4 linked regions of the Saccharomyces cerevisiae S288C genome follow. Changing the gene in region 3 together with the main gene of any one other region gives a genetic interaction. Each region holds a gene or a part of one and is shown on either strand. Other genes may lie near its edges. The genes, in order: PDH1, ADP1, HUL4 and SRP102.

What was found.
Region 1: mutations in HUL4 (region 3) and PDH1 together harm fitness more than expected from each alone (negative genetic interaction), as found in Saccharomyces cerevisiae (one large-scale study listed by BioGRID).
Region 2: mutations in HUL4 (region 3) and ADP1 together harm fitness more than expected from each alone (negative genetic interaction), as found in Saccharomyces cerevisiae (one large-scale study listed by BioGRID).
Region 4: mutations in HUL4 (region 3) and SRP102 together harm fitness less than expected from each alone (positive genetic interaction), as found in Saccharomyces cerevisiae (one large-scale study listed by BioGRID).

Annotation. Positions count from the first base shown.
Region 1 is NC_001148.4:556,767-560,482, forward strand, and holds PDH1 (putative 2-methylcitrate dehydratase), read left to right. Parts: upstream 1-1,618; coding exon 1,619-3,169; downstream 3,170-3,716. Other genes in the region: citrate (Si)-synthase CIT3, read left to right, coding at 1-1,071. UniProt on the Saccharomyces cerevisiae protein: Catalyzes the stereospecific dehydration of (2S,3S)-2-methylcitrate (2-MC) to yield the cis isomer of 2-methyl-aconitate.
Region 2 is NC_001135.5:133,224-138,466, reverse strand, and holds ADP1 (putative ATP-dependent permease ADP1), read left to right. Parts: upstream 1-1,593; coding exon 1,594-4,743; downstream 4,744-5,243. Other genes in the region: PGK1 (phosphoglycerate kinase), read right to left, coding at 1-721.
Region 3 is NC_001142.9:500,151-505,000, reverse strand, and holds HUL4 (putative E3 ubiquitin-protein ligase HUL4), read left to right. Parts: upstream 1-1,609; coding exon 1,610-4,288; downstream 4,289-4,850. Other genes in the region: MLO127 (Mlo127p), read right to left, coding at 1-1,065; DNA-dependent ATPase RAD26, read right to left, coding at 4,389-4,850.
Region 4 is NC_001143.9:159,855-162,888, forward strand, and holds SRP102 (Signal recognition particle receptor subunit beta), read left to right. Parts: upstream 1-1,746; coding exon 1,747-2,481; downstream 2,482-3,034. Other genes in the region: tRNA methyltransferase RSM22, read right to left, coding at 1-1,488. UniProt on the Saccharomyces cerevisiae protein: Component of the signal recognition particle (SRP) complex receptor (SR). Ensures, in conjunction with the SRP complex, the correct targeting of the nascent secretory proteins to the endoplasmic reticulum membrane system.

The sequences.
Region 1 (3,716 bases), on a different chromosome or scaffold from region 3:
GCTGCTTCTTTCAGGAAAGAATTGGCTATTCGTGGAAGGAAATTGCCACATTATACAGAGAAAGTTTTGTCAAGTTTACCCAAAGATATGCACCCTATGACCCAACTTGCAATTGGTTTAGCATCAATGAACAAAGGATCCCTCTTTGCTACAAACTACCAAAAGGGCCTCATAGGAAAGATGGAATTTTGGAAAGATACTCTTGAAGATTCGCTAAATTTAATTGCTTCACTCCCGCTGCTGACTGGGAGAATTTATTCGAACATTACAAATGAGGGACACCCATTAGGTCAATATAGTGAGGAGGTGGATTGGTGTACAAACATATGTTCCCTGCTCGGCATGACAAATGGAACGAACTCTTCTAATACATGCAACCTTACTTCCCAGCAATCCCTGGACTTCATAAACTTGATGCGGTTATATACCGGTATACATGTAGACCATGAAGGTGGTAATGTTTCTGCTCACACCACCCACTTGGTTGGAAGTGCGTTGAGTGACCCGTATCTCAGCTATTCATCTGGAATAATGGGATTAGCGGGTCCTTTGCATGGGTTAGCAGCACAAGAAGTAGTAAGGTTTCTCATAGAGATGAACTCTAATATTTCCAGCATTGCACGAGAACAAGAAATCAAAGATTATCTTTGGAAAATTTTGAATTCAAACCGTGTGATCCCCGGTTATGGGCACGCAGTTTTGCGTAAACCGGATCCTCGATTTACAGCAATGCTTGAATTTGCGCAAAAGAGGCCTATTGAATTTGAGAACGACAAGAACGTTTTGTTGATGCAAAAATTGGCAGAAATAGCGCCTAAGGTTTTGTTGGAACACGGAAAGAGTAAGAATCCATTTCCCAATGTTGACTCTGCATCGGGGATTTTGTTTTATCATTATGGAATCAGGGAATTATTATTCTTTACCGTCATTTTTGGGTGTTCAAGGGCCATGGGACCCTTGACACAACTTGTTTGGGATCGCATTCTAGGTTTACCAATTGAAAGGCCCAAGAGTTTGAACTTGGAGGGTCTGGAAGCACTTACCAAAGCAAGCAATGTTAACAAGTTGTAACGCAGTTCCAATTTACAAGAATGCTTCGTTTGCTATTACAATATTGAAATATAAATAAAATTCCATACAGCATGTCTAATCATAGCTAATTTATACATATTCATCATGAAAACATATAGGGGAAAATATGGTCGGTTAACACACCTATCAAAAAATTATTCAGCAATTCCAATCTCGTTAGTAAAATATATTCTTATTTTTTTTTTTTTTCTCTGATTGTATTATTTCTGGAGTTTTGACTTATTTTTTTACCACATCGCGCTTTTCGTCCCCAATCTCTCTGATATATGATGCTGTCTATAGGTAGCCACTTCCCCGATGTCGGACCTCGGGCCGTTTACAAACTTTATTGAGATGACCTTATTTCTCCACATTCTAGTCATTCAACTTTTACCCTCATATGTTTACCTTCACTAATGTGAAAGCATGACCAAAGAAAGTGTATAAGGTATATAAATCTGCCATAATGTATGTATAACTTATTAGGACTTTCTCAAATAGTATTTTGGTATTTTCTACTGTTCTCTGATGATCGAGAGCAAACAGAATGTTTTTAGCCAAAAATCTAAAAAATAATAAAATCAAGGTATGCTTGCCTAAAAAGAAATTTGCTGCGCTGAGTACAGCGTCTATACAAACTAATGAAAGACCAAATCCAGATAAGGTTTTGAAGGACATCGCGAAATATGTCCATGAAACCCCATTAAAATCATCTTTGGCTCTAGATACAGCACGACTCTGTTTCCTTGATACTCTAGGCTGTGGCTTGGCGGCTTTGAAATTTAAGCAGGCTCAAAATATTATTAAACCAATTGTGCCAGGAACAATAGTTCCCAGTGGAACAAAAATATTGGGCACATCTTACGTTATGGATCCAGTGAAGGGAGCTTTTGCCATTGGTACTCTAATACGTTGGTTAGATTACAATGACTGCTGGTTAGCTGCCGAGTGGGGGCACCCATCAGATAACCTTGGGGGAATTTTAGCTGTCGCGGATCACTTGTCCAGATTAAACAAGGCTACCCACGGAAAGAATGGAAAACAGTTTCTTGTTAAAGACGTATTAGAGGCAATGATTAAAGCGCATGAAATCCAAGGTATTATAGCGCTCGAAAATTCTTTCAATAAAGTAGGTTTAGATCATGTGGTACTCGTGAAAGTAGCAACGGCTGGTGTTGTCTCGAAGATGCTGGGCCTGAGCCAGGAACAAACTATTGAAGCATTGTCACAAGCATTTGTAGACGGTCAATCACTGCGTACTTACCGTCATGCCCCAAATACTGGATCTAGAAAGTCGTGGGCGGCGGGAGATGCAGTTTCGAGGGCTGTAAACTTGGCTTATTTAGTCAAAAATGCTAATGTTGGCACGATACCTTCAGTATTAACAGCTAGAACCTGGGGATTTTATGACGTTTTATTTAAGGGTAAACCTTTTTCATTCCAACAAAGATCAAAATATGATTCCTACGTCATGGAAAACGTTCTGTTCAAGATATCATTTCCTGCCGAATTCCATGCGCAAACTGCTGTAGAAGCTGCTGTAAAAGCATATAGGATTCTTGCCAAACAAGGGAAAACTTTTAAAGATATTAAATCGATCAGAATTAGAACTCAAGAGGCGGCAATGAGGATTATAGATAAATCCGGTCCTCTGTATAATTATGCCGATAGGGATCATTGTATCCAGTACATGATCGCGGTTCCGCTGATTACTGGTAATCTCACAGCTACTGATTATTCGGATGAGGTCGCAAGAAATCCTGAGATCGATAACTTGAGATCGAAAATGTACTGTATCGAAGATACTCATCTCACTCAAAACTATCACGATCCTGATAAAAGGTCGATAGGAAACGCTCTTCTCATAGAGCTGAACGATGGGACGCAGTTGGATGAAATTTTTGTAGAGTACCCTGTTGGTCACAAATTTAGACGAGAGGAAGGAATACCATTACTAATGAATAAATTTCAAAGGCATCTGCGCGAACATTTTGTAGAGAGCCCTGATAAAGTCGACCTTATAATGAAGGTAAGTTCAAAAACAAACTTTTTGAATATGCAAATCGACAAATACATGGATTTGTTTACTGAGGGATGAATGGTTGGCTCTTTAAGAGCGAACGGCATGGTACCTACTTCAATTTTTAAAGACAAAAGGCGCCGTTTCGATAAACAAGAAATCACTTTCAAAACATAATTAAACCAAAGAACATGCGGTTTTCTAATTATGCTGGCTTAATTTTACTGGTATTTATCTACATAATAATAACTATTAAAAAATTAAATAATTGGCTCTATTTATTTTTCTTTCTTCAACTTGCAAGAGTTCGTCAATTCATGGAAAAATACAAAAATAGAAATGCGAATTCTGTGGATCGAACACAGGACCTCCAGATAACTTGACCGAAGTTTTTTCTTCAGTCTGGCGCTCTCCCAACTGAGCTAAATCCGCTCAATTTCTATGCTCTAACCACCTTAGCTAAAAACTCAATACAGGATTAGTTGATAAATGGGTGTTATCAACTCAATCCACAGTGTTGGAATCAGAGTCAGTTATCATCTTTGGGCTAGTATTATTGTAAGTGTTGGAATAAAAATTCTAAAATATCATCCATTTAGTAGTGTTCATATTACTAATATATCTG
Region 2 (5,243 bases), on a different chromosome or scaffold from region 3:
TGAAAGCCATACCACCACCAATGATGATAGAGTCGACCTTGTCCAACAAGTTGTCAATCAATTGAATCTTGTCAGCAACCTTGGCACCACCTAAGATGGCCAAGAATGGTCTGGTTGGGTTCTCCAAAGCCTTACCGAAGTACTTCAATTCCTTTTCCAACAAGAAACCGGCAGCACGTTGTGGCAAGTCGAAACCGACCATAGAAGAGTGAGCTCTGTGAGCGGTACCGAAGGCATCGTTGATGTAAACATCAGCCAAAGAGCTCAATTCGTGTCTGAACTTTTGAACATCTTCCTTGGAAGCCTTGACCTTTTGACCATCGACCTTTCTGGAACCTTCTTCTTCGATGTGGTAACGCAAGTTTTCCAACAAAATAACGGAACCTGGGGCAGAAGCCTTGACAGCGGCTTCAACTTCTGGACCGACACAGTCGTTCAAGAAGGTGACATCCTTACCCAACAATGATTGCAATTCCTTAGCAACTGGAGCCAAAGAGTATTTTTCGTTTCTTTCACCGTTTGGTCTACCCAAGTGAGAAGCCAAGACAACGTATCTTGGGTGGTGTTCCAAAACGTACTTGATGGTTGGCAAAGCAGCAACAATTCTTTGGTTAGAAGTGATCTTCTTACCGTCCAATGGGACGTTGAAGTCAACTCTGATGAAGACACGCTTGTCCTTCAAGTCCAAATCTTGGACAGACAACTTTGAAGATAAAGACATTGTTTTATATTTGTTGTAAAAAGTAGATAATTACTTCCTTGATGATCTGTAAAAAAGAGAAAAAGAAAGCATCTAAGAACTTGAAAAACTACGAATTAGAAAAGACCAAATATGTATTTCTTGCATTGACCAATTTATGCAAGTTTATATATATGTAAATGTAAGTTTCACGAGGTTCTACTAAACTAAACCACCCCCTTGGTTAGAAGAAAAGAGTGTGTGAGAACAGGCTGTTGTTGTCACACGATTCGGACAATTCTGTTTGAAAGAGAGAGAGTAACAGTACGATCGAACGAACTTTGCTCTGGAGATCACAGTGGGCATCATAGCATGTGGTACTAAACCCTTTCCCGCCATTCCAGAACCTTCGATTGCTTGTTACAAAACCTGTGAGCCGTCGCTAGGACCTTGTTGTGTGACGAAATTGGAAGCTGCAATCAATAGGAAGACAGGAAGTCGAGCGTGTCTGGGTTTTTTCAGTTTTGTTCTTTTTGCAAACAAATCACGAGCGACGGTAATTTCTTTCTCGATAAGAGGCCACGTGCTTTATGAGGGTAACATCAATTCAAGAAGGAGGGAAACACTTCCTTTTTCTGGCCCTGATAATAGTATGAGGGTGAAGCCAAAATAAAGGATTCGCGCCCAAATCGGCATCTTTAAATGCAGGTATGCGATAGTTCCTCACTCTTTCCTTACTCACGAGTAATTCTTGCAAATGCCTATTATGCAGATGTTATAATATCTGTGCGTCTTGAGTTGAAGTCAGGAATCTAAAATAAAAATTAAGGTTAATAAAAAGAGGAAAGAAAAAAAAATTAATCGATTTACAGAAACTTGCACACTAAAAATACACAACTAAAAGCAATTACAGTATGGGAAGTCATCGACGTTATCTCTACTATAGTATATTATCATTTCTATTATTATCCTGCTCAGTGGTACTTGCAAAACAAGATAAGACCCCATTCTTTGAAGGTACTTCTTCGAAAAATTCGCGTCTAACTGCACAAGATAAGGGCAATGATACATGCCCGCCATGTTTTAATTGTATGCTACCTATTTTTGAATGCAAACAGTTTTCTGAATGCAATTCGTACACTGGTAGATGTGAGTGTATAGAAGGGTTTGCAGGTGATGATTGCTCTCTGCCCCTCTGTGGCGGTCTATCACCGGATGAAAGCGGTAATAAGGATCGTCCCATAAGAGCACAAAATGACACCTGTCATTGTGATAACGGATGGGGAGGGATCAATTGTGACGTTTGTCAAGAAGATTTTGTCTGTGATGCGTTCATGCCTGATCCTAGTATTAAGGGGACATGTTATAAGAATGGTATGATTGTAGATAAAGTATTTTCAGGTTGTAATGTGACCAATGAGAAAATTCTACAGATTTTGAACGGCAAAATACCACAAATTACATTTGCCTGTGATAAACCTAATCAAGAATGTAATTTTCAGTTTTGGATAGATCAGTTAGAAAGCTTCTATTGTGGCTTAAGTGATTGTGCCTTTGAATACGACTTGGAACAGAATACCTCCCATTATAAGTGTAATGACGTTCAATGCAAATGCGTTCCCGACACTGTGTTGTGTGGTGCTAAGGGGTCTATAGATATCTCGGATTTCCTGACAGAGACAATAAAAGGGCCAGGAGATTTCAGCTGTGATTTAGAAACAAGGCAATGTAAATTCAGTGAGCCTTCTATGAATGATTTGATATTGACCGTGTTTGGTGACCCTTATATTACTTTGAAGTGTGAATCCGGTGAATGTGTTCATTATAGTGAGATTCCAGGTTACAAATCTCCTTCAAAAGATCCAACAGTGTCATGGCAAGGGAAATTGGTGTTGGCATTGACTGCTGTGATGGTCCTGGCACTTTTTACATTTGCTACCTTTTACATTTCTAAATCTCCGTTATTCAGAAATGGATTGGGTTCCTCAAAGTCTCCCATTCGTTTGCCAGATGAAGATGCGGTGAATAATTTCTTACAAAATGAAGATGACACACTGGCGACATTAAGTTTTGAAAATATCACTTATAGTGTCCCCTCGATAAATTCAGATGGTGTTGAAGAAACTGTGCTGAATGAAATAAGTGGTATCGTGAAGCCCGGCCAAATATTAGCTATCATGGGTGGATCTGGTGCGGGTAAAACTACTTTATTAGATATCCTAGCAATGAAACGGAAAACAGGTCACGTTTCGGGTTCCATAAAAGTTAACGGTATTAGTATGGACCGTAAATCTTTCTCGAAAATAATCGGGTTCGTCGATCAAGATGACTTTTTGCTGCCCACTTTGACTGTTTTTGAAACCGTATTAAATAGTGCGCTGTTAAGATTGCCAAAAGCATTGTCATTCGAGGCCAAGAAGGCAAGAGTTTATAAGGTGTTGGAAGAACTAAGAATTATTGATATCAAAGATCGTATTATTGGTAATGAATTTGATCGTGGTATTAGTGGAGGTGAAAAACGCCGAGTTTCCATTGCATGTGAATTAGTGACATCTCCATTGGTTTTATTTTTGGATGAACCTACATCTGGTTTAGATGCTAGTAATGCCAATAATGTTATTGAATGTTTGGTAAGGTTATCCAGCGACTATAACAGGACATTGGTGCTATCTATTCATCAGCCAAGATCAAATATATTTTATTTATTCGATAAATTGGTCCTGTTAAGTAAAGGTGAGATGGTCTATTCCGGAAATGCCAAAAAAGTGTCAGAATTTTTGAGAAATGAGGGATATATCTGTCCGGACAACTATAATATTGCTGATTATTTGATTGATATTACTTTTGAAGCCGGTCCTCAGGGGAAAAGGAGAAGAATCAGAAACATTTCCGATTTAGAAGCTGGTACGGATACTAACGATATTGATAATACGATACACCAAACAACATTTACTAGCAGTGATGGTACAACACAGAGAGAGTGGGCTCATCTTGCAGCTCATAGAGATGAGATCAGATCTTTACTCAGAGATGAAGAAGATGTAGAGGGAACAGATGGAAGGCGAGGTGCTACTGAGATTGACTTAAATACCAAACTACTACACGATAAATATAAAGATAGCGTCTATTATGCAGAGCTTTCACAGGAGATCGAGGAAGTTTTAAGCGAAGGTGATGAGGAAAGTAACGTTTTGAATGGAGATTTACCCACAGGTCAACAATCTGCTGGTTTTCTGCAACAGTTATCGATATTGAATTCAAGAAGTTTTAAAAACATGTACAGAAACCCTAAACTATTATTGGGTAATTATTTACTGACGATCCTATTGAGTTTATTCTTGGGAACACTATATTACAACGTCTCCAATGATATCAGCGGTTTTCAGAACAGAATGGGGCTGTTCTTCTTTATACTAACGTACTTCGGTTTTGTTACATTCACAGGTCTCAGCTCGTTCGCTCTGGAAAGGATCATTTTCATAAAAGAAAGATCCAATAACTATTACTCGCCACTTGCATACTACATTAGTAAGATAATGAGCGAAGTGGTCCCGCTACGTGTTGTACCACCTATACTCTTGTCATTGATTGTTTACCCAATGACTGGTTTAAACATGAAAGACAATGCTTTTTTTAAATGTATTGGAATCCTTATACTGTTTAACCTTGGGATATCGTTGGAAATCCTAACCATCGGCATAATTTTTGAAGACTTGAATAACTCCATAATATTAAGCGTGCTGGTGCTTTTGGGCTCACTACTGTTTAGCGGACTATTTATCAATACTAAGAATATTACAAACGTGGCCTTCAAGTACCTGAAAAACTTCTCTGTGTTTTACTACGCCTACGAATCTTTATTGATCAATGAGGTCAAAACATTGATGCTGAAAGAGAGAAAGTACGGCTTAAATATTGAAGTTCCAGGCGCTACTATCTTGAGCACATTTGGATTTGTTGTCCAAAACCTTGTATTTGACATCAAGATCCTGGCTCTGTTTAATGTGGTGTTTTTAATAATGGGGTATCTAGCCCTTAAGTGGATAGTTGTGGAACAAAAGTAGATAGGCGTCGTATATAGTCTCTTCTTTTACATAAGAAATAATAATTTTTGGCCCCGCAACTTTCCTTATTTTCGAGAGGGTCCACTGCCCGTTGATCCGGAGCTCCGTGGAATAGGCGAGCGGCTGAGTGGTTCTCCAAGCTACGGTTTTTACGTGTAGCCCCATGTGAGCAAGCCAAACAAGGGCCCTTAAAGGCGTGACTACAAAAAGGGGCGGGTTGGAAGGTCATCTGCAGCGAGATACGAAAAGATTTTTTGCCAGATTTGCGGTTGGGCGGCTATTTCGGTATTGTTGGGGTAACAAACGTTGGGGAAGACTGCATTTTCTTACAGCTTTTTTTCGTTATCGCGGGTTGGGCGGCTATGGCGCCTTCTCCTCTGTACTCCAACCTGTCAGAGACACCAAGCTGTATATAAAGCACCTTGGTTGGATCGTATTTCCCTGAGATCTTGCTATAGGTTCATTTTATATATCGTCCAATAGCAATAACAATACAACAG
Region 3 (4,850 bases):
ATCATGTGAGGAACCACCATTGATGGGAAGCCTCTCAAACAAGGCCTTTTCCCAGATATACGTATCGTCTTCAAAACTGCTAAGGATTGCATTCATTCTGCATGTTATTAGAATTGCAGTACTCGTCATAAATGTAAATGTTAAATGATTTAATGTGGTATCCGCTAAAATAGGCTGCAAAAGTTCGATTCTTTCCATGTTATCAGACCCAAAGGCACCAGGCCCTTGGTATATTTTGTCTACCGTTTTACCATCAATGGTCTGTTTCGATGACAATGCATGTTTAATAAAATAAGTTTTCCATGGCGTAAAAACAAAATGACCAATATTGGTGACCGATTTGAGAAGTACTTGTGAGACCGTTGCTTCCTCCACAAATGTTAAATTGGTAGTTCTTTGCCACTTCGTTCCTTTGGCTGGTTTAGACTCGAATACACACACGCATGCTTCCAACTTATATGCAACCTCATTGTGTGCACGTGTGAGAATCGACAACGTAAAGACATCCTTATCTAAGAAATCATTGAAATTGATACACGCATCTATGGATACTATCGGTGAGGATGTCACATAACTCAGCTTAACGTCTGTTTCTTCCAAACAAAAAATGTCCTCAGTAGAAATCTCGTAAATTTCAGTGCATGACAAATTAAAAACCAGAGCTGTTCGTAGTGGATCTTGGAACATGAACTTTGGCTCTGATCTTACCTGATCAATTCCTGTTTCCAGAGATTTCACTATTTTGTAATCAAGGTTGACGAAGTCCAACCGTCCCGTGGCTTTCAACAGAATATAAAATCTTCGGTTAGGTGCAGTATGATCTTTGAAATAAAAGGCTGCCATTGTATATCCGACAGTCCTAAGTCTTAACTTCTTGCGCGCTTCATCTTGTTCTACCCCTTCAAACACATCTATATATTCTAGTCCTATGACCACCAATTCTCGGCTCTGTCCTTCGAGTCCATCTTCTTCCCTAATAAAACATTTAACTACATCCGGGGGACCATCAACCTCACTTACTATAATGTTGTCAGTCATCGCTATACGAATCCTCCCTGCTGGCATGAGAAATTGGATACGCCAAGCCCTGGGCAGCCTCCTCTTTGCATCGTTTCTCTTGCTTTCATCTTTCCACTATCCAATTACCCTGACTCTCGTTCCTGTCTATCATGAGTCTCTTGTCAAGCCAACAAGTGCTTCCTTTGGAGGTATACGATTGTCTCAACTTACTATGATTATGGAGAGGAGAGCAACGCCTACGTGTCAAGACCCATCGTTAACCGAGGTCTAGCTTTAACCTTGTATCTCCTAGCACTTTTAAATAAGGCAAAAAGGGAGTAGGGTCATATCTTTCTGGGACCCTTTTTTTGTGATTGCCCCAAATAAAGGAAAAAAATGGAGGTTACAGGATTTTTTGAAGAGTCAGGTATAACCGCCCATGTGGAACAGGTAGATAGATAAATATATTCGAAGGATTGCTAGATAGGGGCAAGTTTTTGCATGCATTTCTCGACTTTAAGCAGAAAAGTACATATTTTTAAGGGCATTGGTGAAATTTACCAGGTATATCTCTCGAATACTGCGGCTGATAGGTAAAGTAAAATAGGAAATGGTTTCTTTATTTGATAAGCTTAATGCAAAAAAAGACGGTAGAGATGGATCTGTGTCGAAGGAGTTGCTATCACATTCTGTAGCCCATACTAAGAACAGGTTACCCAAATCAGGAAGGCGCACGTCGGAACGGTCCTTAGCCGCTAGTGTAAAGGACGGAAGTTGCTCAAATAGCAAAAGCAATAAGCGGAACTCTTCGGCATCCGTGTCAGGGGAAGAAGATAAATCCTGTCTAATTTCACTTAATTGCCTATGTTGTGGTGTCCCACTACGGTTTCCAGCCTCCATAACGAAATTTCGATGCAGCGCATGCCAAGTAACAGTTATTGTAAAGGAGCCGGAAATTAACAGTAATTTGGAATCTAGTACGCATATTTCGTGCACATTAGAGGGTTTGCAGATGGTAGTAAGGCGGTGCCATGATGATTTGCAGCGGCTTAAGAAGACTGGGATTCTGGATAAAGAAAGAAAGGGGTTGATTTTCCAACCGGTAATAACGTATTTACTGGACAGATTTCATGATGTTAGCATTTTAAACAGGTCGTTCTTGGTACATGATGGTGGAAAGAATATAAAGATGCTGAATTATGAAGTTTTACAAAGATTTTACAGTATATTATCAAATCTTCCTACAAGGAAACCGTATTATAGTATGCTGTGTTGCTGTAACGATCTACTGAAGAGAATAACAATCAATAAAGGGGAAAATTTGCAAATATTACAGTATCGTTGGTTGCTGATTATATTAAATATACCTACAATACGAACCTGCCTTATTAGAGATCGGAAGAGCAAAAATGTGTTTGAGACCCAACAAATAAGGGCGGTGTCTTATGAGTTGGCCAAACGATGTATTGGCTACTTGTCTAACCTATCAACAAAAACATCTCAACAATTGATTCAATCATTACGGCGAACGCCTACGGATAATTTTTCATACCAGGTAGAGATTTTAAATTTATACATCAATTTCCAATTTTCCAGATTACTGTCGAACGAATTATCAAATAGAACCGCAAAAAATAACGTGAAGCCTGAAGATGAGATGCGATCTCGTCTTCGTCGGCATCACACTACTGGCCATGAATTCCTGAGTACTAGACCAATAAGTGCACAATCAAATGATAAACAGGGAAGTGGTTTCACGCATCCCGTCAATAATAAGATGAAATTTAAATTTTTTCAATATGAGGAAGACTGGCATATTCACTCTGCAGCAAAATTGACGTTCATCTATTATGTAGCCAATACTAGAAGAAATGGCCGTGGAGCGTTGTCAATTCAAAGCTTTTACAATATAACGCTAGACTTCATAGATTATAAACAAGATTTCGATCATTGGAGAGGAGTAGCTCAAAAGACAAAAATGAATCAACTGATTGAAGAGTGGGGAAATTCGACGACAAAAAAATGTTTTTCATTCTGTAAGTATCCATTTATATTGTCACTCGGCATCAAAATCTCTATTATGGAGTATGAAATTCGCAGAATCATGGAACATGAAGCTGAACAGGCTTTTTTAATTTCACTGGATAAAGGCAAATCCGTAGACGTTTATTTCAAAATCAAAGTACGGCGTGACGTTATTTCTCATGATTCATTGAGATGTATCAAGGAACATCAAGGCGATTTATTAAAATCGCTGAGAATAGAGTTTGTTAATGAACCTGGAATTGATGCGGGAGGGTTGAGAAAAGAATGGTTTTTCTTATTAACAAAATCGCTGTTTAATCCGATGAATGGCTTATTTATTTACATAAAAGAAAGCTCACGTTCATGGTTTGCCATTGACCCTCCAAATTTTGACAAATCAAAAGGAAAAAACTCACAACTGGAATTATATTACTTGTTTGGAGTTGTCATGGGGTTGGCGATTTTCAACAGTACCATATTAGATTTACAATTTCCAAAGGCGCTTTATAAAAAACTATGCTCAGAGCCTCTGAGTTTTGAAGATTACTCGGAATTGTTTCCGGAGACAAGTAGGAACTTAATAAAAATGCTCAATTACACAGAGGATAATTTCGAAGACGTCTTTTCTTTAACATTTGAGACTACGTATCGAAATAACAACTGGATTTTAAATGACAGTAAATCGAGCAAAGAGTATGTAACGGTAGAATTATGTGAAAATGGCAGAAATGTGCCAATAACCCAAAGTAACAAGCATGAGTTTGTCATGAAATGGGTAGAATTTTATCTGGAAAAGTCCATTGAGCCACAATACAATAAATTTGTTTCAGGTTTTAAAAGGGTCTTCGCAGAATGCAATTCTATAAAATTATTTAATTCTGAAGAGCTGGAGAGATTAGTGTGTGGTGATGAGGAACAAACTAAATTTGATTTCAAATCGTTAAGATCCGTGACAAAGTATGTAGGTGGCTTCTCCGATGATTCCAGAGCGGTTTGCTGGTTTTGGGAAATTATTGAAAGTTGGGACTATCCATTGCAGAAGAAATTATTACAATTCGTAACGGCATCTGATCGTATACCTGCAACGGGTATCTCTACTATCCCATTCAAAATTAGCTTGCTAGGGTCGCATGATAGTGATGATTTGCCATTGGCTCATACATGTTTTAATGAAATATGTTTATGGAATTATTCCTCGAAAAAAAAACTAGAACTGAAATTACTTTGGGCAATTAATGAATCTGAAGGTTACGGGTTCCGCTAAGAGTCTTCAGAATATACATATACACATAACACATACATATTTTTTATAGATATTTCTATGGGTAAAGTTACGTCAAGGGTACTCTGTCCATTCTAAGTTTTCATGAAGCATTGTTATTCCTAAATTCTTCATCAAGCACCCACCCTTTACGCTCTTTATCAAACTGTGCTATGGTTTTTAATAATGCTCTAACCTTAATAACGTCTTCTTTATCAGAAAGACTGACGCCAATGCTGTTAAGTATGCTAACACTAGATGAGAAAAAGTTATTCTGTTTCTGTAAATATGCCCGAATATTTTCTAGCGTTTTGGTATTGGAATTGATTTCCTTGGATCTTGCGAAGGTTATACCATCGTCGTAATTTTCTTGGCGAGCTTCCTTGGATGCCTCTTTTTGTGATTTTGTAATATTGCCTAAAATGGCAGCTGATCCAGTTAATTTATTTTTCAACGGATCTCTCTTTCTAATTTTACCTGCTTTACCAAACCTACCTGTCCAAGTAGGTGTCCCAATTTCATATTGCTTAGTGATCTTTTTTCTCGATTTCCTTAGCGCATTAAC
Region 4 (3,034 bases), on a different chromosome or scaffold from region 3:
TCTAGGCCAGGAATTTTGCGTGTCATCACCCAGTGATCCAATGTCATATTTGCCGTTCACATTTTCATTCCGTAATTTCTTAATTTCTTTCAACGTATTTTCGTCCTTATGTGATCTCTCGAATATTAAATAGGAGTAGTTTAAAATTTCATAGTCACGACCATTTCTTCTTCCCGTTCCTTTTAGCCTCGACGCATTTCCTTGAGAACCATCCCATGAAGTAGCGAGAAGTTTACCCTTCTTTAACTCTATACTGAATTTGGGACGCTTGATGCTTTTTTGAAAATTGCAGAACTTTAAGTCTTTACCCTCTTTATGAGTATAAAAGTTAGGATTTCCAACCTGTAAGGGACATTTCCTTTGATGTGGACAAGGTGCAATCACCTTCAGAAAATAATTACTGGAAATGTTTCCTAATTCAGCATCTTTTTTGCCTCTGACTGTTACTCCCCTAGACCAAGGTCTTGGTATTTTTCCGAATTCATCTGGAAAGTTTTCAGGTCTAAGCGTAATTTGCCTTGCCCTGGCTATAATCTCGAATCCCATTGGGTTGCCTCGTTCAATAATAACAATGTGGCCTCCAGGCGCTAGAATATTTAAGTAGTGCTCAATATTTTCATCCACCTGAATTGGAAATTGATTCCCGTCATGAAGAAGTTGATGCGTTAATATTATGAGGTCATATTCCTTAGATGCGGGAATAGAAGACCGCAAGTTAGTCATAATGTTTATCTTTTTTGTCATCACTTCTCCAATATGTTCATCCTCTTGAAAGTTTTTGTTCCGTCTATCTGTTTCCTGCTCTTTCTCTGTAGACACATTTTCTTCTACAGTATCGACCACCTCGTTAAGTTGTCTGCTCAAAATGATTTTGGCTCTTTCTTGCATCTCCGCATTCCCTAAAATAACGGCATCTTTTAGATCAGGTCTATAATTTGGGCCTAAAATATCATTCAAGGCAACTATACCAGTCGCTGGGCCATATCCAACATCAAGGATTCTTTGAGGTTTAAAATTATCAGGACCTACCCTTTTTTGTAATTCTTTCAGACTTTGGAAAATAGAACCATAATTTTGTAAAAAAATGGACGCTATATGTGCATCCACTTCCATTTTGGTTCTACAGGGACGATGTAATGAATTTGGTTCCTGAATCTCTTTGTAATAATTTGTAGCAACCCTTCTAAGATTATTGGGAATATGTACAGCCATAATATTATTGTTGATTGCTTTGCTTACATCAGGATTCAACTCTAATTGGTCCCGGTACGACTGGCCCTGAAGTGTTTTGGAAAGTAATCTGAGCTCTTTAGAATTAGTTGCTTGAGTGGTGCTAGCGGTTTCATCTCTGTACGACGGAAGAACATTGATTCCTCTTTTATTTGAGTCTATAAAATCCGCCAAATCTAACTTTGGTAAGTTTAAACTTGTGAACTTTGAGCTGAACCGGACATTTTGTGGTAGGATACTGAAGCATCTTTTCATCATTTTACCTAAACTAGACGGGCCACCTTATGTCCTAAAGTGTCAGAGGTTTTGCTGCAATACTGTTCTTAATTTTTCACCATTCACTTTTTTCATCTAGTGGCGGAAAAAAATAAGAGATATGGAAAACAAATATGAACCATCATTAAACTTGAAAAAGATGAGAAGAAAAGAAATAGTTAGGCTTTAAGTGTCTGTATTGATCAATTAATTATTACTTTACCACTGCTGTTTATTAGCATAATAGCACACGGGATCAGAATGCTTAGTAATACACTTATTATTGCCTGTTTATTGGTGATAGGGACAACCATAGCGCTAATAGCAGTGCAAAAGGCATCCTCCAAGACAGGGATCAAGCAAAAAAGTTATCAACCATCTATTATCATTGCAGGTCCTCAAAATTCTGGAAAAACGAGCTTGCTTACGCTGCTAACCACAGATTCAGTAAGACCAACTGTTGTTTCTCAAGAACCGTTATCAGCAGCGGATTACGATGGTTCCGGCGTCACGTTAGTGGACTTCCCAGGCCATGTCAAGTTGCGTTATAAACTCTCAGATTATTTGAAAACAAGAGCCAAATTTGTTAAAGGGTTGATATTTATGGTAGACTCAACAGTTGATCCTAAGAAATTAACAACAACAGCTGAGTTCTTGGTAGACATATTATCAATTACTGAATCTAGTTGCGAAAATGGTATTGATATCTTAATTGCATGCAATAAAAGCGAATTGTTCACTGCAAGACCACCATCAAAGATCAAGGATGCTTTAGAAAGCGAAATTCAAAAGGTTATTGAAAGAAGGAAAAAATCGTTGAACGAGGTTGAAAGAAAAATTAACGAAGAAGATTATGCAGAGAATACACTAGACGTTTTACAGTCTACCGACGGGTTCAAATTTGCAAATTTGGAAGCATCTGTAGTTGCTTTTGAGGGCAGTATTAATAAAAGAAAAATTTCCCAATGGCGCGAATGGATAGATGAAAAACTGTAATATAATTATAATTTATAACTAGATGAACGATAGATAGTTTAAAAACAAGCATTTAACATAGCTCTAGATTCCGTACGCAGAGAAAGACATAGTTGCATCATCGACACATGCAATATCAAAAGTAACTCTTTTTGACTGCTGGTGTAAAAAACACTCACGATGGGGGTCGAACCCATAATCTTCTGATTAGAAGTCAGACGCGTTGCCATTACGCCACGCGAGCTAATATTTGTTTGATGTTCCAGCAGTTATATGATCTAATTATGCGGGAAAATAATTGAAGATAAGTAGTTTGATGTATTTTTATTATAGTATTATATTTTCTGATTTGGTTATAGCAAGCAGCGTTTTTTTTCTTCTTTACCATAATCATTGTACCAGGAAATTTTGTTCATAATTATTGTGTTGATTGTCAATGGTCAAAGGTACAACTAATGAAGATTAAATATGGTGAATAGGAGGCCTGCTAGCCACCGTACATTTAATATGTCCGCGTGTTGGAATAAAAATCAACTATCGTCATCAACTAGTGGTTATACTACCAGTATATTAT